Linked DNA regions of Schizosaccharomyces pombe. The gene in region 3 interacts genetically with the main gene of each other region. Each region holds a gene or a part of one and is shown on either strand. Other genes may lie near its edges. The genes, in order: SPOM_SPAC521.03, msn5, rem1 and arg12.

Evidence for each region.
Region 1: mutations in rem1 (region 3) and SPOM_SPAC521.03 together harm fitness less than expected from each alone (positive genetic interaction), as found in Schizosaccharomyces pombe (one large-scale study listed by BioGRID).
Region 2: mutations in rem1 (region 3) and msn5 together harm fitness less than expected from each alone (positive genetic interaction), as found in Schizosaccharomyces pombe (one large-scale study listed by BioGRID).
Region 4: mutations in rem1 (region 3) and arg12 together harm fitness more than expected from each alone (negative genetic interaction), as found in Schizosaccharomyces pombe (one large-scale study listed by BioGRID).

The regions. Positions count from the first base shown.
Region 1 is NC_003424.3:843,035-849,921, reverse strand, and holds SPOM_SPAC521.03 (dehydrogenase), read right to left. Parts: upstream 5,002-6,887; 5' UTR 4,778-5,001; coding exon 3,998-4,777; 3' UTR 3,780-3,997; downstream 1-3,779. Other genes in the region: rps802 (40S ribosomal protein eS8), read right to left, coding at 1-402; sst1 (calcium permease), read left to right, coding at 946-3,591; DNA repair WLM domain metallopeptidase Wss1, read right to left, coding at 5,838-6,626. UniProt on the Schizosaccharomyces pombe protein: NADP-dependent dehydrogenase with broad substrate specificity acting on 3-hydroxy acids. Catalyzes the NADP-dependent oxidation of L-allo-threonine to L-2-amino-3-keto-butyrate, which is spontaneously decarboxylated into aminoacetone.
Region 2 is NC_003424.3:3,466,734-3,476,706, forward strand, and holds msn5 (karyopherin), read right to left. Parts: upstream 8,268-9,973; 5' UTR 8,075-8,267; coding exon 7,982-8,074; intron 7,899-7,981; coding exon 4,287-7,898; 3' UTR 3,780-4,286; downstream 1-3,779. Other genes in the region: efm3 (methyltransferase), read left to right, coding at 101-742, 875-1,102; zinc finger protein Cps3 , read right to left, coding at 1,464-3,112, 3,171-3,273; dbl4 (ubiquitin-protein ligase ), read left to right, coding at 8,828-9,973.
Region 3 is NC_003423.3:1,951,316-1,958,157, forward strand, and holds rem1 (meiosis specific cyclin Rem1), read right to left. Parts: upstream 3,398-6,842; coding exon 2,936-3,397; exon of another isoform or gene 2,851-2,935; coding exon 2,104-2,850; downstream 1-2,103. Other genes in the region: SPOM_SPBC16E9.20 (uncharacterized protein), read left to right, coding at 477-1,046; phosphatidylserine decarboxylase Psd1, read left to right, coding at 4,394-5,707; SPOM_SPBC1E8.02 (ubiquitin family protein), read left to right, coding at 6,810-6,842. UniProt on the Schizosaccharomyces pombe protein: Required for pre-meiotic DNA synthesis and S phase progression. Regulates levels of meiotic intragenic recombination.
Region 4 is NC_003423.3:447,904-455,163, forward strand, and holds arg12 (argininosuccinate synthase), read right to left. Parts: upstream 3,123-7,260; 5' UTR 3,101-3,122; coding exon 1,868-3,100; 3' UTR 1,537-1,867; downstream 1-1,536. Other genes in the region: nuclear membrane organization protein Apq12, read left to right, coding at 1,031-1,378; Clr6 and Rpd3L histone deacetylase complex subunit Rxt2, read right to left, coding at 4,086-4,513, 4,694-4,802, 4,852-4,976, 5,027-5,061, 5,111-5,136; pleckstrin homology domain protein Meu6, read left to right, coding at 6,327-6,694, 6,765-7,041, 7,099-7,260.

The DNA.
Region 1 (6,887 bases), on a different chromosome or scaffold from region 3:
GGGAGTAGGTGTAGCAGTGGCCTTCTTACCCTTGCTTCCCATCAAAATACCGTAGTGAGTTTCATACCAAACACGGAAAGGAGCGGCATCAATTTGGACGATGGCCGACTTGGTCAAAGTGTTGGTACGAACCAACTCGTTGTTAGAAGGGTGGTAGGCGACTTGAATGATACGAGTCTTCTTGGAAACACCTTCAGAGCCCCAAGAGAAGTTACCAGAGTCAAGACGAAGAGCACGGAACTTCTTGTTTCCACCACGAACACGAACCTCATGGATACGCTTAGGTCCAATACGAGTGTTGGAAGGTTGACGACCCAACTCGAATTTTCTCTTCTTACGGTATTGAGCACGCTTAGCACCGGTAGCAGAGCGCTTGTGGCGGGAATCTCTCGTAATACCCATCCTGATCCTTTTGCAGAAAGAGATTTGCTGTGGTTACGATGAACTAGTATATAACACAGTAACTGAAATTGTTTGGGTTTGGCTGTGACTGTTATTTTTGTTTCATACTACTACTAATACTTTGTACTTAACGAAATTCGGTGTATTCTTACAAAAACCGATACCGTAAGTTAGCGTATTATCGCTTAGCTCTACATTTAGTAAACTGTACAACGATGCTCGGCTCTGATTAAGCTCAATTCATCCCGACAATCTTTAACGAAGTAAACATTGTATGCTCATTAACGAACTAATGGGAGGACTTCGATATTGTAGAATTGGCGTTCTTTTTTTCAATTTGGTATTCTGATTATGATATGCGTAATAGAAAATGATCGCAACCTTTCCAATCATGCCTTCCTTTCTCACTATTCCTTCAACAATTTTTTATAAATACCTATTTACTCAATCCTCTTAGCTACGTACAGGTGTTTTAAGGGATAGAATATTTGGCGAGGGTTTGATTCGGAAAAGTAATCATTGTGACAATTACTACCGCCTACAATGTCTCAACCTGCTGATATAAATCAATCTGAGAGCTCTGCGGAAACCATTACCCAGGGTCGACGGGCTGATAGACCAGAAGAAACTCCTTCTTCTTCAGTTTATGAACAGAATCTGCGATTCGGCGATTTCTTAATGCCAACTGTGGGCGACGCTGATGCAACGGATTCATTATCCCAATCTACCAATGATCGTGACATATATTCTCCTAGAGAAATTGATCAGTATACTCGGAAAGTTTCCTCTCGGACTGATCCATCAACTTCAACTATTTCAAATGCTCGTCAGCATCCCAGAAATTCGGTATCTCGTTTAAGTCGTAGTTCTAGTAATGTTCGGCAACAAAGAGATATTCCTAAGCAGAACTTTAAGGTACGTCCTCTGTCTCCCTTAAGAGGTCAGTCTCCCGCCTCTCTCAGATCTGAAGAATCCTTTACTTTGAAAGAAAGGCAAAACGCTATTAACAAGACTCGTGCATTCGGGATGCGGCTATGGAAACCCGCATTATATAAAAAGTTCCGATCCATAAACCGTGATGCTGACATTGATATTCACGATGAACCTCTGAAACGCCCCAACACCTCCATCTCTAATGTCATATGGCTGATTTGTTTCGGGGCTCCTCTTTTTCTAGTGATCTTTATATGTTATATATTTTTTACAGTCCTTTCATTTTTTAATGTGCCTGACGCGATCGTTTACTCTAAGCTTTGTCGAGGCCTTATGTTTTATCTCCTCTATCCCTTTGGTCAACATGTTCGACATAAAGTCAAGCGTCTATCAGTACGCTCTCCTGCTCATCCAATTTATCAGACTCAACATTCCCATTATGATGAAACTCCTACTTCACATCACCCGGATCCGGCCCGCTTAAACTTCCTTTCGTTTTCTTTCTGTGTTAATCCAATGAACCAATCGTTAGATTGCAATACTACCCCACATCGAAGAAACGCTTCCAGTATCATTTATACACTTATGTATTACTTGATTATTGCTCCGACACTACTCATTACCTCTGCAATTTGTATGTTTACTATTTTTTTCGTTCCATGTGCAAGGACCTTATGGGCTATTTGTCGACATTTGCGAACTTGCCCATTATCTTTGTCTTTTCGTCCAAATCTCGCTTTGCCGTTATCGATGGATTCTTCAGATGTTGTCTTACTATGTGTAAAAAAAGCAGCAAGCTGGAAGTATTATAAGTATACTATCGATGGTATTTACATAATTTATTTTGATATGCTAGCGCTCATAATCCCAACCATTTTTTTTGGCTTTTTTGGATCCCAAGGTCATTGGTTTACTTCTTCTGTATTTTTATTCACTGCTTCGTTGGTGAGTATTATCCCTCTTGCATATTTTATTGGAATGGCCGTGGCTTCAATTTCGGCTCAAAGCAGTATGGGAATGGGCGCTTTTATAAATGCCTTTTTTGGTTCAGTAATTGAGGTATTTCTTTACTCAGTTGCTCTGCGTAAGGGTAACGCTGGACTGGTTGAAGGAAGTGTAATTGGCAGTATACTAGCTGGTTTACTTTTGATGCCTGGGCTCTCCATGTGTGCTGGTGCAATTCGAAAGAAATTTCAGTTTTTTAACATAAAGTCTGCTGGTGCAACTAGCACAATGCTTCTTTTTGCTGTTTTGGGTGCTTTTGCCCCCACTATGCTTTTTCGAATCTATGGTCCTTTTAGGTTAGATTGTGAGCCTTGTGGCGCGAACTGTCAGAAGTGTACGAAACACTATGTTTTAGAAAATGATTCACTATATAAAAATAGAGTCCTTCCATTTACTTACTGTTGTTCGATTATGCTTGTACTGGCATATGCGATTGGTTTATGGTTTACTTTAAGAACTCATGCCTCCCATATATGGCAAAATTTTACCGCCGATGATATCTCTTTCCTCAAGGCTGAGGAAGAAGTTGGTGAGCCTGTAAATCAAGATACTGCAGGCAATATGTCGGATAGCTCTGAAGGAGGAGAGGCTGTTGTCAACGGCAACTCTCAACATCATCACAACCGTGATGATGCTTCTTCAGGGTTGTCGTCTAATGGAAGTGAAAATGAGTCGCTAGAGCATGAACCAACAAACGAGTTACCCCAAAGACCTCTAGTTAATCAAAGTCAGAACTCCCACGGTGACGATGCTCCAAATTGGTCAAGAAGCAAGAGTGCTATCATTCTTTTGTCGGCAACATTCTTATATTCCCTCATTGCCGAGATTCTTGTCGAACATGTAGATACGGTTTTGGATAAATTTGCCATTAGCGAGAAGTTTCTTGGACTTACTCTATTTGCTTTAGTACCGAATACAACTGAGTTTATGAATGCTATATCATTTGCGTTAAATGAAAATATAGCTTTGTCAATGGAAATTGGGTCCGCTTATGCTTTACAAGTTTGTCTTTTGCAGATACCTTGTTTAATGGGATACAGTCTGTTTCAATATTATCGTTCTGGTGATTCAATATCGTTTAAGCATTTGTTTACCATGGTTTTTCCAACGTGGGACATGATTTGCGTGATGATTTGCGTTTTCTTGTTAACCTATGTTCATTCAGAAGGGAAAAGCAACTATTTCAAAGGTTCGATTTTGGTATTGGCATACCTTGTCTCCATGCTTGGTTTCACATTCTTCAACTACTAGATTTTTTCTCTGCACACCTTGTTGTCAATATGTTGTAATTGAGCTCTAGTTATTTTTACACTTTTATTATAGATTATTATTTTTAGCTTACATCATCACTTTGAAACTTGCGTTTCATTCAGTGAACCATTTTTGTAATAAGAAACGAAGAGGCTTCGATCTCTATACGCAATTTTCAATCAAGTTATGCTTTATCATTTTCATGTTTATATTTTTTTACGTTTTATGGGCCCTCAAGCATTGACGAAAACTAATGAATAACGAATATCTTCTGATATAACCGAATGTCGGAAATAGTTGGGAAACGTGTTATTAATAAAATTTCAAAACTTCATGCATACATTAAATTGAACTTAATTGCTAAATCGTAATAATAACGAACAGCTTTGTAACATAGTTTTAATGCCTACGCTTGCTTTCTGTACACATGATTGGCACCACCTTGATGGGATGGGAAAACAAGTGTATCGGCAATAACGACGTTTTCTCTGCGAGTGAGGGCAAAAAGAATCACCTCAGCAATGTCTTCGGGTGTCAAAGGCTCACTATTTTTGTAAACATTATCAGCCTTTTGTTTGTCTCCGTGGAATCTCACAACGCTGAATTCGGTTTCGACCAAGCCAGGATCAACCTCCATAATACGAATGCGAGTGTCAATAGTCTCCTTACGCAAAGCGGAAGTGAATTGAGCAAGGGCAGACTTGGTAGAGCAGTAAACGGAGCCGCCTACGTATGATTCTCTGCCGGCAATACTGCCAACGTTCAAAATATCACCCTTGTTTTTGCTGTAGAATATAGGAAGAACCGCACGAGTCATAGCCATCATACCAAGAACATTGGTAGTAATCATGGTAACGGCGTCATCAATATTAAGATCAATGACTTTATCGGTACCTAGAGCAAGTCCAGCATTATTAATCAAGACATCGATATCAGCAAATTCCTTTGGCAATGACTCAATTACCCCAGGAATAGACTTCAAATCAGAAACATCCAATTTAAGAGGAAGAACCGATACTTCATATTTCGATTCTAACTCCTTTGCAATTTCTTCAACGGTAGAAAATCTGCGAGCAGCCAAAATAAGTTTTACTTTGGCAACTTTGGCAATTTCAAAAGCAGTGCTTTTTCCAATTCCAGAAGAGGCACCAGTGATTAAAATCGTTTTTCCATCCAAACGGCTCATTTTTAAAGATATAAGGCAGAAAGTATTTGAAGAGTAAGAACAAAAAAATAAATACAAAGATAAAATTACAAATGAACGTAATTTATATAATAAAACCACAGTAAAAATCTAGATGTTCCAGACTTAGAAAATAACGTGGGGGTGATGATTTAAATCAACAGACTGTACTTGGTTTAGGTTACCTATTAGTGCGCCAAGACTTTATTGAGGTTCCTAATATTTACGAGGTTCATAACTCCTAACTTGCTCCTATATATATATTCTATCAATTTGATAATATTAGATAGTTTTTTATCGTTATTAGCAGATTATCTACCGAAAACCTCATTAATTGGCTGCTCCGTGGAATATCCGCGGAAATCATTTTCCTTAAGCAGTTAGGATTTGTATATGAATGAGATGGTAGAACATCGGAAATGTTCTTTTCAACGGAAAAAGACTCTTTTTAGAGATCTTGGAATAAAATATAATTGCGAATGATTGCAAATTTCAGCGTTAGATCACAGAAGATCTCCCCAGAAAATTAGTGAATAGTAATCGCATATAGTAATGTAATACGCAATTGGTAGTGATAGGGAAGTAAGGTTGAAATTTATGCTTACCTTTTCGCGAAATTTTTTTGACATGCAGGTTTCAACACTGTTTTGCAGCTTAATAATGGATTTTTTCAATAATTGGTGCTGAAACGAGGGTTTTGGTTATTTAAGTTATTTTCATTTTATTTTTTTATTTATTTTTTTTATTTTTTTTTTCCCTATCTATTGAAATTTATTACTTAGGAAAGCTAGCGAATTCCCATTTCTATGTGTTTTTTTTTGAACAATACTTTCTGCCATTTTTTATGATATTTTGTTTTAATACATTTTTATTGGTTTATCAATCATTAAGAGATATATTAGTCTTTAAATGAAAGCTGTTTGTTTTAATGTATTCATTATTTCTCTTTGTTAATCGTGTTACTCTAGTACGAAATGTCCCCCAAAAAATGCTACAATTTAAAGGTGATTTGATTTTGTATACAAATTTTTTTCTTTTTTATGTATTTATTCTGTTGTCTAATTTATTCTACTACGAAATAGTTTTCCAAGGTTGTAGAGCTATTGTGATCTTTAGGCTTATATTCATTAGAATTGTCGACTCGGAGAAGTGCCGCTGCAATTCGGGCTTCCCTTCCGCGCATGCTTTGAGCTTGGGGTTTTGCAGGTGATTTCAAAAGCTCTAATCTTATGTTCATATCAGTTCCAAGCTTTTGTCCTGTTCGTGTAAGCTTCCGCTTCTTTGTTGAGGAAGGGGTAGGCTTTCTTCTGATTTTCTTTTTTCTTTGCAAAGATCCACCACAAGTTTCCACACCATGCATTGTGCTGCGTTCCAAAGTTATTCCGTTAAATACAACGGTGTTATAATTTCCTACTACATTGGCAAGGACAAATGAATCCCAAGTCATGTACTTTCCAGGGCCTTTATAACCTTTGGCGTAAAGAGCAATCAGGGCAGCTCGAAGAGTTGATAAATGACTGAAAAACCGACGATCGTGCGGCCCCTGCCAAATATGACAGAGTTCGTGTAAAAACACGTCCATGACAAATTCAAATGGTAACCATCGATTTGAAGCGTCTCTAAGGACAAGCTCAATACATTCTCCCTTATTCCAGTTTCTTCCCCAAAATTTTGCATTGTAAGCAACCTCATCCAACGAAGTGACTCCGAATCCATGCTCCTTCATAATAGGAAATGCCATTGCGGCAATTCTTTTTAAATAATCAGAAGATAGATCATGGAAATCTCCTTTTATAGCAGATATAAATCCTATTTTCTCATTTGGATGGTCATCGTCGTTTATTCGTAGCATAAAGCTAACACTTAAAAGGATACTCGTAGTCAGAATATAATATAAATACAATATAGCGATCATGGAGTTACTGCGTTTTAATATTTTATGGTACCGTCATAGGGCTTCTTGAATTCGCTTAACGAAAAATAATTTTCAAATGCAAATAAATAGAAATGAAAAACATTACAGTACAAAAATTAACATATTTTCACAATCAATTAATTTTCTGTTAAAATTATATTATTACCTTAATTTCAATAAGTTTAGTGAAATTGCTTC
Region 2 (9,973 bases), on a different chromosome or scaffold from region 3:
GAGAAAAGTATAACAATGCATTGCTAACTGTCATTTAGTGAGTTATTTTTGTAACCGATATTCTTGCTGGCAATTAATTATCATAGGCATCACAGGGAGTATGCATGGTGCCCCCGAGTTCTTAACAAAAGTGAAACAGCAATATCTTCAGCAAGTTGACTTATATCGCTTTCAATGGGTAAGCAAGCCAACTGACTGGCCTATTCTCTTTAATGACTATGCACAAGTGTTTCTTTCGGAAATAGTGACACCCTCGGCATACACCAGGGCTTTTTTAAAATCATATTTTCGATTTTTAGACTCTATTGACAGCGGCCATAATGAACGAAACGAGGCACTGCTGTACACTTATATCGAATCTCTCTCCAGCACGTATATACCTCCTGTACAATATTCTTTAGGAGAGTATGATATTTTAATACGGGAATCCCGGCATGTTCTTTTGCGCGAAGGAACCACTGGAGCTCGTACATGGGAAGCAGGAATGGCTCTCGCCGAATACATATATCAACATCCCGTTCAATCAGGAATGAGGGTACTAGAGCTAGGAGCTGGTACAGGTCTTGTTAGTATACTATGTGCAAAAATGGGGTCCATCGTCTTGGCTACAGACGGTGATACAAAAGTGTGTGATGGTGTGCGAGAGAACGCTCGACTAAACAATTGTGATATAAATGTTAAAAAGTTACTATGGGGAGTAGATCCACCAGAATTCTCAGATATTGTTTTTGCATCCGACGTGGTAAGTCAAGAATCTTGAACTATAAATAGGAAATTGAAAAGTCGTGTTAAGGTTAAACTGCTAACGGAAACTTATTGTTTAATAATTAGTGCATTCTTTGATGCGTACTAATTATTATGCAGTATGTTATAGACTTACGATTGTGATTTAAGGTGCTTGGCTACTACCCTAACACAAATTATAACAATAAATCCAAATTGTAAAATTATCCTTAGCGCTAGTCTTCGACGACAAGAGACATTTTTTAACTTTTTGAAGCTCATCCAAAACCTCTATGCTCGACAGCTGGAGGTGTGGGATTCTCCCAAAATACTTTACTATGATAGTCCACCCATCGTCTTTTATGAAGTCTCTAAATAAACAAAATGAATGTCTAGACGGTTTCAATGCTGACAAATTTTCTACTATTTTAAACTCTACTGGTTTAATAAAATGGAGTTCTTAAAATCTCATCAGTATTTTATGGGTCGTTAGTATTGTCACCAAGTTAACTATACTTGCAGTTTCAATGTAAATAACAGCTATCACTACTTTTATTACCAATACTAACTAGCAGTGACAATCATAGATAAAGCTCGCAACCTTTGGTATCTCCATTAAAAGCACAAATATAATAAATAAGTGGTGAAACACGAAAATAATCACCTTTTTGTGAAGCTAAATTTTTTTTGTTTAGCCACATTATTAAATCGAAATAGCCACTAACGATATAGGGCATATGCTAAGCTTCATCCATTTGGAATTGAGTCTCTTCATCCAAAGTTGTATCGTAAGAAGCCACTACTTCTGTTGAAGTTTTTGATTTTTCAATAGAAGAGGCCATGTTAGACTTCAGGGTTTGTCCGTTTTCTAAAGTTTCAGATATTGCAGTCAAATTTCCTAAATTTTTAGGTGTAGTTGCTGTAAGCGGTTCCTGGGAAACCTTGTTAAGTGAAGGAGGAGTAGCTTTCTCAGATTCTTGTCGATGACGATCAAAAAATGCAACAAACCTACTGGAGGTGGGTGTTCCATTATAAGAATTGTAGGGTGTAGGATTCCCACTATTCAGGTTTGAAGAAACCTTTGACATAAATCTTGAAGCTGAGGAAGAACTTACTGCTTCATCACCATGGCTCATTTTTCGTTCCAACTCCTCTGGAGTCAAGAGTTCTTGCAAACTGTTGGGAATGAAATCTTCCTCATTAGCGAACTCGTCAGGAATGTCATAATTTACAGAGTCCTCTTGTGAAGTTCCCAAGGAAGAAGCCAGTAAAGATGTCCCCACAGGATTAAAACTTTGAAGTTTCGAGGTGAAAGAATGAGTTCGGTCAGTACTTTTAAGGAACTGTGATGAAAACGTCGAGGGACTAGTACCGAGGGAAGATATAAGATTGGGAACGCTCCGACGACTTGATAGTGGATAAAGGTTCTCAAGCGAACTAGGAGTAGCAGTAAGCGTACTACCATTTATTCCTGGAAACTTCCTACTCTTATTACTTCCGACGCTTGTTGGTACCGAAGGGCTTTTGGTAGGACGTCCAAGATTACCGGTTGCGGTAAAGGTATTCATAGAAAATCCCGGAGCCATAGATGCACTGTAAGAGCGATTTAGTATTGGGGGTTTCAAACCAAGAGACATAGATTCTGGATTGAATATGTTTCTCGTTCTGATTCCGCTGCCAAATGAGGCGGGTGAGATGTGATTGGAGTTAAGATGTGCCTCTGGCGTATGCGGATAGGAAGAACTAGATAGAAATTTGCTTCCAGAAAATGGAGAAGTAGAGCTTTTAACAGATATGGAGCTGAGGCTACGCTTTGCATGTGGTGAACGTACCGTGGAACTTCCATTAGTTGCCTCAACATAGGCAGGAATGGTTTCTATGCCAGTCACATCACTGAAATCCTTAACAGATGCTTTCTTTGAGAGACTATCCCCCACAATAGAATATACGTCTTCTGTAGAAGCGGAGAACGCATTGGCAGCAACAGTCACCTCCGATGGAATAGCTACGTTGGATTCTTCCTTTTTAATTACTAAAGCTTCATCTTTTATTCGATTTTTTTCTTCTGAAGCTGTGGCTGATGCCATAGTAGTCATTGGCAATATTTTGTCATTGTTGGAAATGATGTTAGCCATAGGAGCAGCAGATATGTTTTGAGAGCTTGAGCCCATAGCTGTAGTAGATGGGGCAAAGGCTCTTGTCTTTACTTTTCTTCCATCAGGTAAAACATGTTCCAACGCGCATTTAGAACCAAATTTACAGTTTCCTTTTTGGAAGTATTTACAAATAGTTTTCTCTGTCGCCAATTCTAAATCGTGACTAAATATACAGTTTTTTCCACTTGTACAAGTTCCTTGCCTAAAGAACTTACAAGGAACGTGTTGTAAACCTAACTTTGTTAGTGAATCTGCTCAACTCTCCGTGATCGTCGTCCACAGCCTTCTTACTTTTTGGAGAGGGTCTAGTAAGCGATGTTGCCTCCGAATTAAACTCGCTTAAATGATATTTCTTCATGTCTTCTGAATTTTTAAAGGCATTTTTCTTCGTCATTTTTGATGCATGTATGGGATTGATGTCAAAACACCAGATAGTTGCTCTGAAAACGAAGAAATGAGAGCCGCATTAAAACAGCCTTATAAAAAACTTCAATCAGCTTTTTATAAAAGGCTTCGTTTGCGATATGTAGCTTCTTGAGATATACGATGATGGGGAACCTTGTTAGGTCGAAACTATATTATAATAGTAAGTAAACCTTAGAGCACGCAAATTGGGGTCACAACCTTGGGTGTTGGAAAGAAAGTCTACACTAAACGAAATAGTCAAGTCTATTAATAATATTGTATATATTAAATACTTCTAAGGGGATTTTCTAATGATATCTCGTATTAGTGAAACCTCCGGATGTTGGGGTTGGTGTGGTATTGATAAAGACTGAGCAATGTAAACAAAATAGCTAAAATTCAAAACAGTCAAATTAAGATTTCCAACAACCCCAAAGGTCCCATTATAAATACAGGCGTTTTAGCCGAAAATTACATAGAAAGAAATGAGTGTTTATTAAATAACAAGCAATTAAAAAAAAAAGCATCGTATATTGGCTTATATAAAATTGCCCAGCTTCTACATTGATAGATGTCAATAAACACATGCATGCCATTATATACATCATTAACAATAGTAAATATAAAAGACTAATCATCTCTTTCCCTTTGCAAAGAGATAAAGGACATCTATTTTTTCACCCTTTTTTAAAATCTAAGAAATGTAAGCATTAAACGTTAAATATAAAGTCATAATGATAAATTTAAAAAATCATTCCACAACTTCAAAAATGCTGGATCGGTTAATTCCATAAAATGACCATATGTGCGAATAGTTAACCAGTAACTCATTTCCAAGCAATGCTAATGCTGCTGATTTACAGTACTAAAAGAAATAAAGCTAGGAATTTATTGAACTGAGTAAAACGACTACTCTGAATGAGAAGTCGTGATATCAAATTAATGTGTTCGCGTAAAAAAAACAACAATCTTTGAATGCTTGCCATTCCTTGATTTTATCTTTTATTCAAAGAGATTGGCCAACCCCGTATCTTCGTCTCTTGAGAGTACATCATTTTTTTGCTCGTCTTGCAAGCTAACACTTTTTTCAAACCTTTTCAGCATTTCTTTGGCGCTTACATCAAGGATGGCGGCATTGACAGCTCTACGGTCAGTTCTCGGTACAATTCGACCGGAATTAAGAAGTCTCGTAAGCAAAGCTTTTTGAATTTTTAGCGTGGAGGCTTCACGGAATTTGTTGAAAAATGCTGGAACCAAATTTTCTTGATTGGCAAGGGCCGGAATACTAGCCAGCAACTGAAACGCTGAATCAGTAATTCCTTGCGAGTATGACAAAATAATACAAGCTAATCGAATAAAATCTGACTGCATTGACTCAAAGTAAGGATCATGGATAGCTAGAATGACTGATTGAAACACCTGTTGGCAGATAAACTCTCGTACTAATGAATGAGCCTGCTCAGATACTAAGAGTGGAGTAATCGCCAAAAACGCATTTACTACCAACCCCACAGTCCGAGAGTCATGAATCACCAATAAATGGCATAATGTGCATAATAATGGTTCGCAAATGATAGCGTTATCCAATACATATTCGGAAAGCTTTACAGGACCTTCAACAGTCTCTTTTCCTATTAAGCTTGAAGAAACATTGGACCGAGATTGGGTAGGAGTGATTTGTAAAAATGTTTCGGTAATCAATTTTGCGGTAGCATAAGTTAGATGACGAAGCAAGGACTCTTCAATCATCTCCTCTGACAAATCATCATCCTCTCCTGTCTCCTCAGCATCTTCTTCAACAAGTAATCCGCGATCGTTAATCCGCCGCCACTCACTAACTAGTTTGTGATCTAATTCGGACAGCAAAGCTGGCAGTAAAGGTAAAAGACATTCATCGCGAAGTTCTGCAGGACAATTAACGCAATACGGTTTGATTACAACATTCACCATAGACGTCCATTGATGTAAACTTAACCCAGCTGCATGAGAAAAGAAAGCTGTCAAAAACTGCTTAGACAATCCGGGTACACAAAAAAATGCTTGACCTAGACGCATAAATGAAGCTATAGCATAATAACAGTATTCCCTTAAACGCCTTAAAAAATGACCGAACGAATGTATTAACTTGTTAGCTGAGACGTCCATCTTGTAGGACTCTTCCAAAAATTGATTTTTAGAAATTTGACTTACACCATGCAACCAAAATCTTTCAACAATACTTTTTTGAAGTATCGAAGAATTGTGCATTCCTAGACCACTTATAAATGAAGGCTCATAACAACAATGCAACTGTTCAACTAATTTTAACAAATTTGGAACAACATTTGGCAAGATAACTTGCCATAGGTTCTTTTGCCCTTCAAATTCAGATGGATGTATGTGTTTATTACTACAGGTGGCTTCACAAAATCTCCCCAAACATTTAATCGGCCATAACCATTTACGGCCAGTTTCAAGATTTGATTGATATGAAGCAGCATCAGCATCCAGTTCAAACTGTGTGTAATCAGCATTGTAAGGATACTTTGCTGATAAGTATTCAGCCATTTGAGGAAACCCAATGTGATTCAAAAACTCCATTGGACTGTTAACAGGTGGCTGAACATCAAGCCAAGTCTTGACAACCGGTCCAACTAATTTTTCAAAATATTCATTTTTGACTTCAATATTGACATCAGAAAATTGAGTTATTACAAACAGAAATGTTTTTAACATTACAATTTCAGAGCCCGTTAATGTTGTAGCATTGTCCAATTGATCGATGATAGATTGCAACTGATCAAAGATATTCATCAAAGGGTTCGGCATTAGTTCTCCTAGTCTCACAAGCTCAAAGCAGCATCTACTCCGCATCTCATTAATTTTTTGAACATCGGAAAATCCATACGATGCGGAAGTGTTATCGTATGTGACAGCAGATATAATTTTTTCAAGGACAACACCAAGCAGGGTAGTATTTTCTCTTGCAAGAATGGATGTAAATAACACTAAGACACTGATCAAACGAGTAATCAGCATAGGGTCTTTGAAGTTAATTTCAACAAGCTGTTTGCACCACAAAAACAGATTTTGTAAAATTATTTCATAAGTAGCGGGATCATCAGAAGTGTTTTCGTTCCAACGAGTAACGCCGTGCAAAAACGCTTCTATCGTTGAAAATCCAACATCCATTGTAAGATAAAGAGGACTGGTCTTTGAAAAAAATTCAGTCTGGGATTGAATATCTTCCATATTGCCAAGAACAGTTGACTGAAAACGATTTTGAATCCAGTTTAAGGACTCGATGGGAGTGATGGATACGGTTAATCTAACAATGTCAAACATAAACCTACGAAAGTTACCGCAAAACGAATGCACAGCAGAAACACCTTCCACATCCTCTTGAAGGTATTTAGCAGTAGCAGACTCCGGTATGAGTTCAACAACTGCATCCTCAAAACGAAGTAACCTCTCGGAGGCAATACTTAACAACTCAGGGTAAACGATTTGAAATTTTTCATGTTTGGAAATAATGGGATCCCTCAATGCTAAAACCCAAAAGTGTTGAGATATAGCACTGATTAATAAACTAGGATGTTTCATGATTTCCAATACTAGTAAGGAATAAGTGTCCAGGGATGTGAGTTTAATACATTTCCGTCGATTAGAGTCAAGGTAATTGTATTGGCCCAAAGCAACTATGGTCTCAGACAGTTTTTTTAAAAGAATATATTCGGGAGTTGTAGATGAAAGTGTTTTAATATTTATTGATTCAGATGTGGCAGTGTAAACTTGATGGAGGGTATAGAGACTAGATGGGGACAGCATTTCTTCGACTATTTCCCACAGAGGATCATCAATTTCCATGGTTCTGGTTACACAAATATAAATGCAATCAATAGCGTGTGTTTTTAAAAAGATTGGCCCTTGGACTAAAATTTGACAAATATGTGAAACGATGTTTGCCTCTCGAATGGAATCAGTAGCTACCCAGGACAGGCAGCTTTTGAAACACTTTAAGCATTCTAAAGCATCATCTTGACTTTCTAAAGCGTTGCCCCACCGGATAAGCCAACCCTCATTGTTAGAAGGGATAGTAACGGAATAAGGAAGACCTGAAGGATATAATTTGTGCAGGGTGGAAGAAGAGGATAGGATGCTGATAAGCGCATTAAAAAGAATATGAGAGCGTAAGGATGCAACGGGATCATCATACTGATACAAGTCTTCCATTATACCACGCAAGATGAGGGAAGATAGTTGACGATGCTGAAGGCTTAAAGACCAAAGTGATTGTAGAAAGGAGTCAAATTCTTCTCTCCATGTGTTATACCAGTCTCGTTTTGCAATTTCAATAAATACGGAGGCGAGTTTACTACGCACAAAATGTACGGACAGCAGGTTATTGTCTTCGAGTGATATTTTACATAAAAAGCTAGTGACAGATTCCTTTTCCTTATTCGAGAAACTTTTCCAATTCATTCCAACACTCGTTTCAAAAAGACTAAGAGAGAAATGTTGTACTATATGAATGTCAAGTTTACAGCCGAGTGAGGAAAAAGCCTGCTCATTCAACTCTAAGAGTTGAATGGCGACCGATGGACTGCTGTACGAATCTTTAAGTTCATCTAGTAACTAAAAACGATAATTAGCAAATATTCATGGACCGTTTCCGCAAAGCACCATGGCTATCTCCATTATGACTCATCGCGACTTACCTGCTGGGCAGAGAACCGAGTTTCTCGCGAGCTTTCAGGCGAATGCACCACATTCAGAGCTTGTAAAATATTTGATAAACCTTTTTCATCCATCAAAACCAGTTTATTGAAATCGAGTCACTGAAACTCAAAAACTGTTTACTTCAGGACTCCTTTGTGATGCAAAGAAATTTACAAAGATAATCAAGTAATCACAAGTATTCCAATACTTAGGTAATAAATAATGAATTTTCCTTAATAATAATCTTGAAACGAAGCAAGATCGTAACTGCGTGTTGGGTGTTTCAAGAAACAATCAAGCCAGCATACACCGCATGTGTTTAGCCTGCCATTCATCGATAACGATACATTGCAGTGTGTTATATACATAGTCAACTTTCTTTTCTCGTTTCAACCCCCACTTGGTATTGCAGATGGAGGCTAAATTTCTAATATTCTTTGAATGCAGCAGCATCCATCTCCCGTACACTTCGTTAAAACATTTTTGATTTGGAAAGCAGGAGGGCAATTGTCTTGCTCATTTCATAAAGGCCAAAGCCGAAGTATTTTACCTTTTGCATACATCTGGCTCTTATTTTTCAGTCTTGTTACAGGTGGCCATTTCACGACAAGCTTTACTAAAGATTTCACGATTTACTCGTTTGTTTTGTTTGAGTGGATTCCATCTGCTGTGGCATCTCGTTTGCGGTTTAAACAATTACTTTCCTGCTCGGATTATTTGTAGGTTTTTTGCTTATATAAGGCAATTCGGCAAAAAAACAAGTGGTTTTGCTGATAGACAAGCATTCATTGTATACCTTTCTTGAATATCGGTTAAATAAATTTCGGTGAATAACTAAAGCTAAGATGTCTGACCTATTGGACGATGAATTTTATGAGGAAGAATTTGAAAACGATCTTTTGGATGCTTCTGAATTCGAGGATGAATTTGATGAAGATGCAGAAATCGATGATGATGGGTTCACTGTAGAGAGGAAACGGCGGAGAGCTCACAGCGTGAGCTATAGAGTGGTCAGCGTTCGCGATCTTAGGGCCTCTCTAAATGAGAAGATTAATCAACTTACTAGTATCATTGATTTGACGAGAGAGCAAGTGCTAGGGTTATATCGATATTTCAAATGGAACCGCGAAAGACTGCTAGAGAGGTATATTGATGCTCCAGAGGAATCCCTTCAAAAAGCAGGTGTGGGACTTAGTGGTTCTAAACAGCGGGAAGTTGTTCACCATGAAGGGACTTGTGAGATTTGTTACGATGAAGGTTGTCTCCCATTTTTCAGTGCTGAATGCGATCATGAATTTTGTTTAGCTTGCTATAGACAATATCTTGATTCCCGAATAAGTGAAGGTGAAAGTGTCATTCAATGCCCTGAAGAGAGCTGTACGCAAATTGTATCCATTCAATCCATCACAAAAGTGTTAGACGAAAAGTCACTTGACCGGTATCATCGGCTTCTGGATCGCTCATTCGTTGACGATAATGATCATTTAAGATGGTGTCCAGCTCCGGATTGTGAGTTTGCTATCGAGTGCCATGTTACACAAGCTAGTTTAAGTTCGGTGGTGCCTACAGTAACCTGTAATTGTGGCAAGCAGTTCTGTTTTGGCTGTGGACATGACAACCATCAACCGACAATATGTCCACTGGTAAAAATATGGCTCCAGAAATGCCAAGACGATTCTGAGACGGCCAACTGGATTCATGCCAACACGAAAGAATGCCCAAAATGTTCTACCACTATTGAGAAAAACGGTGGTTGTAATCATATGACTTGTAAGAAATGCAAATACGAATTTTGCTGGGTTTGTCTGGGTCCTTGGACTGAGCATGGGAACAACTGGTACACATGCAATCGATATGAAGAGAAGAGTAGTACAAGCGCTAGGGATTCGCAATCGAAATCTAGAGCCTCATTAGAAAGATACTTACATTACTACAATCGGTTTGCCAATCATGAACAATCGGCTAAATTGGACCATGAGCTATATGAGCAT
Region 3 (6,842 bases):
CCAAATACGTCGCCATCCACGAGCCAAATTGAAACAAACGTCACCGACCCTACCAGTAATTAAGTTGAAGGATGGAAAGGGAAAAGGATGAGGAAAGGATGACGCTGTGGAGTAGAGAGAGAGAAGAGAAGGGCAGTGAGAGTGAGAGTGAGAGAATGGAGAAAAGGTATGAATGAAGAAAAGAAGGAATGAATAAATGTTGGAATGTAAGAATGAATTGAAGTTTATAGTAAATAGAAAAGTGAAATGTTGAAACCATCTTTTCTTTTCTTTTTTGCCATCTTTTCTTTTTTTCTTCTTATTGTTTACATGATGAATTGTGATTGTTTGATAATATTGCGTTTGTTTTTCATCTCTCCTTTCTTTTCTACCTCTTTTGCTATTCGGTTGATTTCCTCTACGTCGGTCGCAACTCAGCCATCAGCCTGGCCCTTTGACATCGAATTGTCTGTATTTTCGGTGTGGTTTGTTTGTTCATGCTGGTTGTCGTGAGTTTGACTCCTCCAGTCGGTGTTTGTGTTGGACTTTTCCATCATTTGCTTTCTCTTGGTGGTGGAATTACGACGTGCATTACGTCGATGGAAACGGGAATTACGAAATGGAGCGGGTCGCTTCGATGCAACTCGCAAATGCAAAAAGAGAAAGGGGAGAGGAAAGGAAAGGAGGAAGAGAGAAAAAGAGGAAAAGAGGAAAAGATATGGTTTCATTCCAAGAAGATGAAAATTCATGATTATTGTATTGTATTGTATTGTATTTTATTTTATTTTTATTTTGTTCTTATTTTATTTTATTTTATTGCATTATATTTTATTCTACATCCATTCTACTCGACTATTCTCTTTTTCTTTCCTTTGTTTATCAAATGCTCTCATCTTCACACCCTTACATCCTTTTACTCTTTACTCTCTTCTCTCTTCTCTTCTCTCATTCCTAAGCACTCCTTGCATCTCGCTCCACTACGAAAACTAAACTTATCGCACTTTGTTTCTCCCCTCTGTGCTATGTTTCCCCACGTTGGCTTGCGCTTATTGCAAACGACGCAATGATGACGAGCCCTTGGAGACAGGGAAACCGGGGAAATGCTACGTCGATGATGTTTGCAAATCAATGTGTTTGCCAATGTTCAGCAACAACAATTCCGTCTGCATACTCTCTGAAACATTTCAAATGTATTTAACTCAACAAATGTTACAACCCAAACTTTTTCTATTTACGCCCAAATACGTTGATAAGCATCTTTCAAAAGAACTGCTCGTTTCATCAAATGACTGCTCCAAGGATTCCTATATTCATGAGCTGATATGGCTATTCATAGTATCATAGAGCATATTATCAGATAAGACAAATTAGGTTACAGATTTTTGGTAGCATAGACATCTAGATACACACAACAACAAGATATAGATAGGACCACTAGGTAAAAATTATTATTAATAAAATATATACCCTTACTAAAAAAAAAAAACAAATAAATAAAAATAAAATAAATTTAAAATAATAATAACAATAATAATATTTCTTTTTTTTATTTTCTTTATTTCTTTTTTTTTTTAATTTAATTTTGCTTTTTATTCTTTTTTTCTTGTTCAATTTAGGTACTTTTCTTTCCTTGTCTTGTTCATCTTTTATTTTCTTTTACTGTATTCTAAGGCACTCCTTTAATAAAAGGTACTTGGTAGCGATTCCTCTTCTCCTTCTCACAAACCTTTATTAGCGACATCTACCGCACTACCAACCTCTCGACATCAACTTGACCCTTCGCTTCTCTATTCCGTCCCACCCTCCCTCGCTTTTTACAAACCTTCTTACTTAGCGATACACCTTAATTCGAGCTTCTTTCACAAAAGTCCATATCAAGTCGTTCGTCTCCCTTTTCACTTCTATAACCCCAGTCTTTACTCTCTCGTGTAATTTTTTTTCTCCTACTCTTACTCTTCTACTTTTACTACTACTCTTCTTTTTTCTCTATTTTCCTACACTTCCCTCTCTCTCTCTCTCTCTCTCTCTCTCTCTCATCCTCTTCATATCTATCTTTCATTAAATTTCCTACATCTTACTTCTTCTTCTCTCTCTTTTCCCTCCTTTTTCTCTTCCCCCCCCCCCTCAACTACCATCCATCGCCATCAAGTTCGTATTTGTCGCAATCCAGTCATGCACTTGTCGACTAATCCCATGGAAATACGGTGTTGCATACTTTGAATAGATCGCATAGTGGTGATCAAACGGATTTTCTAGACATTTCAACAGTAGATGCACATACGAAACTAAACTCATATAATCATATCCCGTAATTTGAGGCAACGTATTGCTCCAGTTTTCCTCTTGCAATATAGATTGGCCGGTGTAGGCGCATGTCGCTACCAATTGACTCGCCCTTAGACTTGAAAATCTTTGTTCCACTAGCGATACTTCAAGAAAATATTTTATCATTATTCGCAGCTGCGACTCCCATTTGTTGACAATCGTCAATAGCCTCAAAAACGATACTGGCCCCGGCCACCCAAGTTGATATTGAAGAACCATAAGCATATACTTTTCCATTCCGCAAATATCTTCTCCTATCCATTCTCCCTCCAACACTATTTCCAAATCTTTCACTGTAGGAGGATGGATCTCTTCATACTTGCAAGCAATAAACAGCGCCGTTGCGCCGCAAAGTTTCATTTTCGATGCTGGCACATTTTGTAGAGATAGAAATCTATCCAATACATTGATCGATAGGAATAAGGATTCTGGAAGCAGGTTTATACATGTATGCACCCCCACAATCCAATTGATCACACTAGCCCTCATCTCTGTAACATAATATGGTTGAGCCGACATATGTCGGTAATCAGGCATAAATCGAATCTAAAAAATGTTAATAAATAAAAACTTCTTCAACTCCTTCATCTTCTTGTTTTCCTTCCCCCTTTTCTTCCCATTTTTTTCATACCTCCAATTTCTCCATGTGCGATAGGATTTCTTTTGCGTATTCCACAGACACCGATTCATCTGCTGAATATCTCATCTGTAATTCCTCCTCTTCATCCTCCTCTGCACAATTGTCATTTGATTCTTCAATCGCTATGCCAAATTCCGAAACACTGCAATTAGGACTTTGAACGTTACTGATCGAGCAAACATCCAAATCTACCAAAAGCTGTTTCTCCGTAAAGACTATCTCTTCCTCTAAAGGTGACGCTAAAAAACTATCATAGTCCTTTTGTATTTGCGACTCTTCAATTGAACTAATTCCATGCCAGCTCTGTGACGGAAAATGTTTATCTGATGGGCTACACCCATTTTGAAGGGATATTTCTCGTACCTGTGCGTTCACCCAGCCTTTTACGTTCAATGATTTGGAAACATAATTGCTTATTTCTTGAAGCGCAACTCTTTTGTTGTTAGAGTTCATGTTTGAATTGGTTCTCGTTGCTGAAACGGTCGCTTTAATTGTTTCAACCAAGCTCTTAGGTAGGCAAGTATCAGTCAATACAATTGCTTTTACTCTTTAATGATTGGGAATCAAATCAAACCGTTTTCTTGAACTTTTTGTTGTAAAATGGCAGTATGCTATTAGCAGGTTCTGTTTGTTTACAGTGAGTCAACAAAAAGTTGATGGTGAAAATGTTTGTTTATTTCCCATATACATATACCAACGGTCGTAACCTTAAAGTAAAACACAACCCAAAACTAAACTTTACCTCTACTATATCAGAATTCATGCTGCTTAAAAATTCCAAACAATGCCCGAATTCATGAAATAGGTTTTTGTGTTGATCGAAACGTTATCAAAGTAAAGCAAGGATTTTGATCAAAAACTCTTTTATTATTTGTATTGATGAGTTTTTACAGTCGCTCATCGGTTGTAAACATTCCATTATTTTACCGTTTTCGAATCATTGAAAACTGAACATAAGAAATCTTGCTACAATTAAGCTTTTTTTCTATTAGGTAACCATCAAACAAGCTTAAAAAAAATAATTAATTTACGCCTTCTCGTAAGTTATTATAATCAAACAAATTGAAATGTAATTGAAAAGAATCTCCTATTCTAAGATTTTTCTACAAACTTGCTTCGAAAGTTTCTTCTGCACTTATACAATGCTATAAGGAATATTCCTTTCTTCTAATTTTGATCGATTTTCGCAAAGTAGGATTGCCTGATACAATGTCAAGGATCTGATTTAATTTCCTTAAAAAAAAAAAAAAGAAAGAAAATGAAAACTCAACAACTTTAAATCATATTACAGTTCCCATATTTACTTGATATCCCAAGTTTACTACGACTTAACTTCTACCACTATCCTTTGAGAAGCACATGGATTCGAAGAAATAGCATATGGAAGTTTAAAAGTTAACGGGTCTCCGAAATCCATTCAAAAGTTTAATTCCATAAAAACAATCTAACATGCTAAAATTTCATCGTAATGTGAAGCCTCAATTTGGTGCATTTGCAAGGTATAGTAGTTTGGGAAAACACAACTCTCGTAAACGGGTTGGAATCATCCGCTTAGCATATGGGTTGACAGGAATCGGCTTGGTTGGATTAGCTGGCTTCGCTTGGGCTCAAGATCGTCACGAGAAAACGTATCAGAAGAAAGGCGTTCAGGTGGAGGGACCATGGCAATTTTATGTCCTTACCACTTTACCATTACGAACTCTCTCGCGTTGGTGGGGATATGTTAATCGTATTGAGATTCCTCTATGGATGAGAGTGCCAGCGTTTGGCCTTTATTCTAAAATATTTGGTTGCAACTTGACAGAAGCTGACCCCGATGATGTCCGCCAATACAAAAATCTGGCCGAGTTTTTCACCAGAAAGTTGAAACCTGGAGCGCGCGTAATTGATCCCGATGCCCCAATTGTTATTCCTGCGGATGGGAAAATCTTGAATTATGGTGTTATTGAAGGAGGTCAGCTTGAACAAGTAAAAGGTATAACCTATTCCCTTGATGCACTATTGGGCGATGAGAAGTTAGCTCGTTTGAAGCGCAGCCATGCTATTCCCTCTCCCGATCATATCCCTCACATTCGTCAAGAGGAGTTTGCCAAGTTAAATGGTATACATTACAGTTTACAAGATTTAATGGGTCATGATCATGGTGAACGACCAAGCCATGTCAAAGATGCTAGCGCACAACATATTGATTTGTTAAGCTCAACAAAAGTGGCAGCCAAATCACAGTTTACGTTGTTCGGATCAAGAGAAACGAATTGTTTATACTACGCAGTTATTTACTTGGCACCAGGTGATTACCATCGATTTCATTCGCCGACTGATTGGGTCGTAGAACGAAGAAGGCATTTTTCCGGAGAGCTGTTTAGCGTTTCTCCTTTTATGGCTCGTCGACTCGGAAATCTTTTCATCTTGAACGAAAGAGTAGCTTTGATGGGGAGATACAAATACGGGTTTATGAGTATGATACCCGTCGGTGCTACAAATGTTGGCAGTATCCGAATTAAATTTGATAAAGATTTATGTACGAATCAGTTTGGAAAACTAGGCCCAGTAGGTACTTTTGATGAGGCTGTATACACCTCATCTTCTTCTATTTTGCATGGTCACCCATTACTTCGTGGAGATGAGGTCGGAAATTTTGAGCTTGGTAGTACAGTGGTATTGGTGTTTGAAGCACCTGCGGATTTTGAATTTTTGGTCAAACAAGGGCAGAAAGTTCGTGTGGGATTACCTTTGGGTCGAGTTGTCCCATCTTCCCATTAATAAAAGAGATGAACACTCATATTTTAGATTGTGGATTTCCCATATGTTTAATTTTATTTTCATTGTCTTTTTGTTGAAATCTACAAACTTAAGGGATTTTATCTTGGAATTTCTTTGTTTCAATATAGCAAGCAATGCATATTGGTATAAACTTGTTGTATTAAAAGGACGGACTGGATAAAACGAGAAGAAATGAATCTATTCGTCAACGTAATTATGATAATCCAATGTAATATTAAGTTAGGAAAAATACACAAATTAAAATATGTACATGCACTAAATTACAACCACTCCACCTTGAAGTAGTCGTACTCAACGGCATCTCAGATTTTTATAGTCTCATTTAATTAGCCATACAATTAAATATCGCTAATCTCAACTCAATCCTCATCATAAAAAAATATAAGGAGAGTTTGATGGAGACAGAGTAGATTTACTCGTTTCAAGTTTTTATAATTACAAGGTCCAATGAGCTGAGAACAAAGGTATTTAATATTATTGTATTTGTACAGATGCCAAACGATAGTTTTAATAAACTATCAATTAGAACATAAGATTGTTAGCTACACATAGTTGGTGGAAGTTTAATTTTTCAAGTCAGTGGAATATATAAAAGCACACTAGTGCAATACTGAGAAGTACAGCATTTTTCGTAATACACTTTGCATGTATGATTAATTTTTTTATCTCTACCGGTAATTTTATGAGATAAATAATTTGAATTCACTTTTTAAATGAGTTGTTTTCTAACAAGAATTCCTGGGAAGTATGCTGCGAAGTTTGTCAAGATCGCTCTGTGTTGGGATGAATTTGAATGGATTTTCTCAGCCAATATAGCGTTCTGACTACCTACAATTAGAAGAACGAAAGAATAAGATTAAAAGATTCCCTCCCTTTTATTTCAGAATGTTTACTTCTTCTAACGACTATATAGCAGGCAATGTTCACTGTGAGAAAACACACTCGATTTAGTGAAGTACAGAGATACGCTATTTACTGCGTGTGATTCGTGCCGCTCAACATTCCTTCAAGTGATTCCTAACATTGCTGTACATTCTCTTGAAAAGCGTTTTAACCTTTTCAATTCTGAAACTTGTAAAGAATGTCAGAGTATCGTATTCGAGTGACAACTGTG
Region 4 (7,260 bases), 1.5 Mb from region 3:
AACTGTGGGGTTATTGAAGAAATGAAAATGTTAAAAACGTAAAAGTTGTTTGTTTGTACGGTTGGACCCTCTAAACACTTTTTTCTATTCTGACATTTAATTAATTTTATGATGAAGATTTTTTTTATGTTCAGTAAGTAAAGCGATGCCTTATAACAATATTACAATGGTAATGGTATAAATAAAGATAAAAATTTTATAGCAATTGCAAGAATGAGTACTTTTGAAAACTCGGTTATTGGAGAATCAAGCTGAAGTGGTTGAAGCGAGCTAGTAATAACTCACTTTAAAGCATTTACCAATTGAAGTCTCACAAGCCTTTTGATATTTCGAAAAGGAAGGAATTATGCTAGGCACTCAGCATAAAAAGAACCATTTTATATGATAAAGGGCAAAGGGAAATTAATTTTCTCTCTATAATAGTAAGTATACTGTTGGATATTTATTCCAAAGGAAATATAGGCGGTGAATTCTACTTTTATCTTCTGATCTCTACGCTTTTATTATCAACCGTAAGAGTCTTTCTTTTATAGTAATAACAATCCAGTTAAAAAGGGATAAAAATACTTATCTTCCTTTTTATATATTACTAATCCTAAAAGAGCTTAGAAATAAGCAATTTTTTATTAACTAGTTCTTTATAAAAGCATATTTATAGAGAAAAGCATTTCATGAAATTATGCTATGTACAGCGAAATACGAAAATAAAATACCTCCTTTGACTAGAACTGTAAGCAACAAAGAGTAAACAATAAAAGCTTGTAGTCATTAGCAAATTAGATTTTTTTATCAGTAGTCTCGATATTAGATGAGATATGTTGACATAATCTGTTTGCCAGTTCTTTCTTTAAATGAGTTTTGTTTATAGAACCGTTTATTTCAACTCATCTTCCAATTTTTATTTTAACATATTTTATTAGCAAATGTAATCGTTGGTAAAATTCGCCTACAACGTCAACATTCAGTCAAAAAGCACACCTAACTACTCCCATCTCTATTACTCCCCGTTCATATTTTAACTTTTTAGAAAATGTCTTTGACATCCGTTTTATGGAATTTCGTCGCCAAACTTGCTGTGGACCATGGATTAAATACCAATCCTGATCAAGTCTTTCAAACCGTTGAAAATGTAGGCAAAAGTTTCGAAAAATATGAAACGTCTTTCCTAAAATCATTGTTCAATGGAAATCTAGGATTGAGCTTGCCCTCAGCTATTAATATCTTGACTTTGATTATAGTGTTATACTTCTCTTTGGTCATTGTAAATAAGACTACCAGTATTGCCCTTGCCCTCTTCAAAACACTTGCTGTAATTTCTTTTTTCTTACTAATCGGTTGTCTCTTTGCTTACTGGTTTATCAATAACGGATCTTTTTGAACATTGACTAGCAGCGTTATCTTCTTTGTTTTTTCAGATTACCGAGTACAAAGTGTTATGGATATGCTTTAAAAAATTTTATTTTAGTAATATATTTTTCATCTTTTTTGTTCCTCATTTCATTTATCATTCAAGATGGTTTCGACATTATTCTTGATTTTAGGACTGTATACGAAGAATGGCTAAAGGCCTGTAAAATATTTTTTAAATTAAAAGCATAGTATTGAGTACATTAAACATCTTAACAATTTGCGTTTGCAATATAAAACTTCAATTTCAATTAGTTACAGTTTTCAGAATTTATTTTTTTTTTGCAACAAAAATATTCAATTGACTTATCAGTGATATGAACGGAGTAATTCTATGAAATGTGAATATGAAAAGGAAGCCATCTCAAATAATACTTCTTATTTGCACAGCAGAAATTTGATTATTGCTTGGCTCAAGTACATGGTGAGTATGACATTATTATTGAGAACGACCTGGCATTTACATCCAATGTTTTCCTTCATCAGAGTTACGCAAACGCATAGACTCGATTTGGATGAAACCAGAGGTCCATGTAGGGTCAAATCCACCAAGCTCATCCATAGATGACAATTTCTCGTCATAAAGATGAGCAGTATCAGATTTACGACCGAGGACAGTGACATTGCCCTTGTAGACAGAAAGTTTAACTACACCGTTTACTACCTCTTGAGAAACGTTGTTAGCTGCTAAAAGCATACGAGTGCAGGGAGAGAAAAATTGTCCATTGTACAAAATTTTAGCGAGATTGAAAGTAACGAATTGGTCACGGAGAGCACGAACTTCACGTTCCATTGTTAAACCTTCCAAGTCCATATGAGCAGTACGCAAAATGGTTAAGCCAGGAGTTTCGTAACAACCACGACTCTTCAAACCAGAGAAACGGTTTTCAACAATATCGATACGACCAACACCGTTACGACGAGCGATAGCGTTCAATTGGTAGAAGATGGAAACGACTCCGCTAAAGGTACCATCCTTGCACTCTAATTTGGTGGGAGCACCCTTTTCAAAGTGAATGCTGAGCTCTTCAACCTCATCAGGAGCGTCTTTGGGATCAACGGTGAGCTTCCACATGTCCTTGGGAGGAGTCATACTGGGATCCTCGAGGATTCCAGCTTCATACGAGCAATGTACAATGTTTTCATCCATAGACCAAGGCTTTTTGGTGGTTTGAGTAACGGGAATGCCCTTAGCAGCAGCATATTCGAGCAAATCCTTACGACCGGCGAAGCGCTCGAAAAATACAGGCAAACGCCAAGGAGCAATGACTTGAACGTCTGGCTTCAAAGCGTAATATGCCAATTCGAAACGAACTTGATCGTTGCCCTTACCAGTGCAACCGTGAGAGACAGCGATACAGTTTTCCTTCTCGGCGATTTGGATCTGACGGCGAGCAATGATAGGACGAGCAAGAGAAGTGCCCAAGAGATAAACATTTTCGTAAATGGCGTTAGCTTGAGCAGCAGGAATGACGGTGTCATTGATGAACTCTTCACGCAAGTCCTCAACGTAAACCTTCTTAGCACCCACCTTCAAGGCCTTTTCACGGGCTGCATCCCAATCTTCCTCTTGACCAACATTAGCCATATAGCAGATGACCTCCCAACCTTCTTCAATAAGCCAGGCGAGGATACAGGAGGTGTCAAGACCACCTGAATAGGCGAGAACGCAACGTTTTACTTCTTGGGGCATTTCTTTCTTTTTCTTGAGGTGTAGTATATGTTAAGTTAGTAGGCCCAACCTTTTAAACTGATAGCGCACTGATGTAATAATATAGCCGACACTATTTTTTACTATCTTTCTCATCAATAAACCATCTTTATAGATAAACGATGGAAATTTTACACACATCTGAAAATTTTTCTTAGTATAGGAATTCTTAACAAAAATTTAATTGAGAAATGTGTGAAAACAGGTTTCGGTTAAATTACATGCAGGAATCGTAAATATCTTGTCACACATGCATTGATTAGTGTGTCTGAATTTAGTTTTGAGGAAGAAAGTGATACAATCATATCAGGGACAGTCAAACAATAGTTCTGATGGTTTCAGGTTTTTAAAGATTGATGTTTACTTGAATATGTTTTGCGATAAATCCTTGTAATCTTGTTGTTTCAAGCACTTACATTGTTCTAACAAAAAGAAGGTTGGGCAATTTCACAACAAATAACAATTTTAATACTTTGGGGAAATGAAAAAGCAAAATAAAGGATAAGTAATGTATTAACATACAAATGGCAAGCACATGTTAGTCGGTTGATTGAACGAAAAAATATACAACAGTGATAAATGAAATTATGTAACAGCAAACGTAAACGTACTTCCCTTGGAAAGAATAAGTAGAAAAAAGTGTGGATAGAAATTAGGATAGCCAAAGGGAATATGTAAGTAGCAGTATCTCAAATTATAAGACAAAGTTTCTAATAGCTGGGGATGCCAAGCTTGAGAAAAAACCCAACGTTATGAAAAAGTAAAAGAAATAATTAAGTTTCATTGCAGAAGAAATCACCAAAGACGTTTTAAAAAAGGATAATTCTATTTTTATAATGTCGTAAAAAGGAATTGTAAATCGAATGGAATAAAGAATAATATTCTCAACGTTTTATTTTGCTGACTTATACGCTTCATCAGCTTCAAAATAATGAAATTGAAAAGATTGATGAGAAATCAATAAATTTTAGGAATTTGGTTTTCCATCACTCTCATTTTTAGACAAAACTTGGGTATTACCATTATAGTCTTCACCTTGGCAGTAAGCAATGACTTTGTTTTTAAAACGAATGGCCCGAAGAAGGTCCATGCGAACGTTTGTCCAGCATCTAATAAACTCCTTGCTTTTTTCCAAAGCTTCTTGAACTGTGATCGTCAATTCTCTACACTGTTCAGGAGAAATCCCAAACACTTCATGAGGTGGTCCTGGTAGTGATGGGTCATCACCTAAAAGTGCAACCATCAATTGTTCGAGATGAGCAGTATATTTGTGTTCAGCAGATATAATTTCAAGAGCAGAAGAAGCAAGGATTGATAAATAATTTTGTTCAAATATGGAAGATATAGCAGGATGTGTGAGCAAGTCTTGTGGTTTTGTCAGCGGTGACATGATCTCTATAATTTTTACTGAGTTAGCAAGCGATCGATGTATATGACCATGATTGGCGAGTGCTGATAACTAATATTTCAATTCAATTCATAATCAATCTTTGAAAACACAACACGAAATCTCCAAAAGCACAATGAATCAAAAAAATTGTATGTCTAACATAACTAAGTGTGTGTACGACTTACCAGCTATGTTTATATCGTTATATGGGTTATCATGGTCCAACCATTCCGGATCTATTCTCCTTCGAAAATGAGAGACAACTCCTCTTTTAGTATTACCAATGTTATAGTACTATAAAGTAGTGGTTAGCAGTTTACGATTCCCAATTACTCACACATACATCAATGTCTATAGAGGAGCCACTAGAGTTACCGACGCAACCATAATATACATTTTTCGATCCTTTCTTTCTTTTTAATCCACGATTTGTAAGTGCCTCTCCAATGGAAGAGTCGGAATCCGAGGCTATACGAGATGTTAGTGAAAATTATAAATCTCATTTTGACAATAATTACCATCAGAATCTTCAAATAACGCCTGCTTAAACCTTCTAAATTTGTTAGAAAAATACATAATACGTGACATTCATAAAAACCTACTCAATTTGTTCTTCAAATTGCTTCATGGTTTTTGGCACGTCAGATATTCATACTTACTCAATCCAGTACAAATTAGCGATTTCTATCGCATTATAGCGTTTACATAAAATGCGAAAATAACCTGGCGTAAGTTGGGTTACTTATTCAATTTATAAATAAATAGTATTGAAACAAAAATATACATTGTTTTAATCGTTAGAGGTAAGCTGCTAGTATTCTTGAATAATAAGAAAAATCCCTTTCCGCAGGTAGGGCCTGGTTTATTTTGCTTTCTCGATATTCCTTTTCCAATTTTTACATGGATGGAAAGACCAGCTTTTTAACTTAAAAAAATATTTAAAAAAAATAATTAATCCATAGAGAATAATGTATTATTATGGAACTTTTATATTCTCACACTTTTTCTCCTACAAACTTATGTCGTTATAATGAAACAAATTGCTATAGTTTTCTTGGAAGAAGTGTAAATATTAAAAGGAAATTTCCAATTCAAAGATGTGGAAAGCATTAAAAAACATCCTTCCATTCTATTGAAAATTTTAAACAATTTGAAAATACCTCGAGTTTGGATTTGCTTTTTTGAAACTAGCGTTCGTCAAAAATAATAAGTAAATAAATAAAAATTTAAAATCTCGTAAAATTCTTACCAATTAAAACCTACTTAGTTTTTAAGCAAAACAAATGAGCAGAATAGTTAAACAACATTTAATTTTTATAAAAAAAGGAACTAATGGTGACAATCATGTATAAAGTCAATGAAAAATATGGCTCATCTGTTGTTGTTAAACAGATTTCAACTCAAATGAAAATTTTAGGATGGTAGTCGCAATTAGAAATTAAAGACAAACACTTAATTGTAAAATCTCTCAATACTATATAGTTCATTCAATCGCAGACAGCTCGATTCCAGAAGAATGTATATGTTTTGATACGAATGAGCGAATACAAGATTTAATGGCCGTTGAAGATTTTATTAATAAGAATGAATTAGTAGAAATTTTTTAACATTTAAAAAGTAAATTCTATGTATTTTCCCTTTTCTATTGATGTCCATCGTTTGTTTGTATATTAGGTAGTCGATTTGTTTGTTTACATTCTCGCCAACAATTGGTATTCAAATAACCAGCTTGGCGCAGACTTTTCCTCTACCACAAATATTTACAGCATAAAAAAAATCCAAAATTGAGAGCCTAACTGTTGTTTTCGACTTCTTATCATGTCTTATGAGGGCCGTGAAGAACGACCTGAGCAGATTGCTGAACCTACTTTCGAAAATGTGTCGGAACACAATGAACATGATTCGGGATCTGCTGAGGCCCAGGTGGAGACACTGGAGGTGCCATTGAGCAACGAAACCGACAATGATGATGCCACTGAAAACGCTGTTCCTGCAGAAGTACAAGCACCTGAGGAACCCAAGGAGCCTGAAACAGTCGACAATATCGATCCTGCAGATGATGATCCAAACAGCGTGGCAGCTCCCAAGGTTGAAGAAAAAAAATCCAAGAAGAAAGCCAAGGATGAAAAACCATTGACCTACACCACTGGTGGGTATTTATACTGTCGATCCAACGGACTTATTCCGTAAGTCAAAACAGCATCCATTTATTAAAAATCAAACAATCGATTGAGTAATCTTACTAACCACATGTAGTCATGTCATGAAAAGGTATTTTTATATGCTAGAAGGCCCTATGTCTATGGATTTATTAGACCATTATTATAAAAAACACTTCCATGGTACTTTGCAAGGTAACCCAACGGAACCTTCCTTAGCTTCTGAGCAAATGCACGACTCTGATGCTGATTCCCTCTTCCAGTCTGCTAATGATCACCTTAACCGTATCGCTAAAGCTACTCAAGACTGCCGTGGTTTACTCTTTTACTCCAAATCTCAATCAACTAGTGTCCCAAGCGGAATCATTAATTTGGTAAGAATTCCTAATTCCCCTGATTTTTAGTTTTAACCGTGCTAACTGTATTTTCAGACTGATGCAGTATCCATAGAACCCGGTACTGGAAACAAATTCACCATCAATTTTAACAATGGTAAATCAGAAACACTTGAAGCCCTAGACCCAGAAAGTAAAAATACATGGATTACTGATCTCAAAAATGCCATTGCTAAGAAAAAGGAAACCAAAGATAAA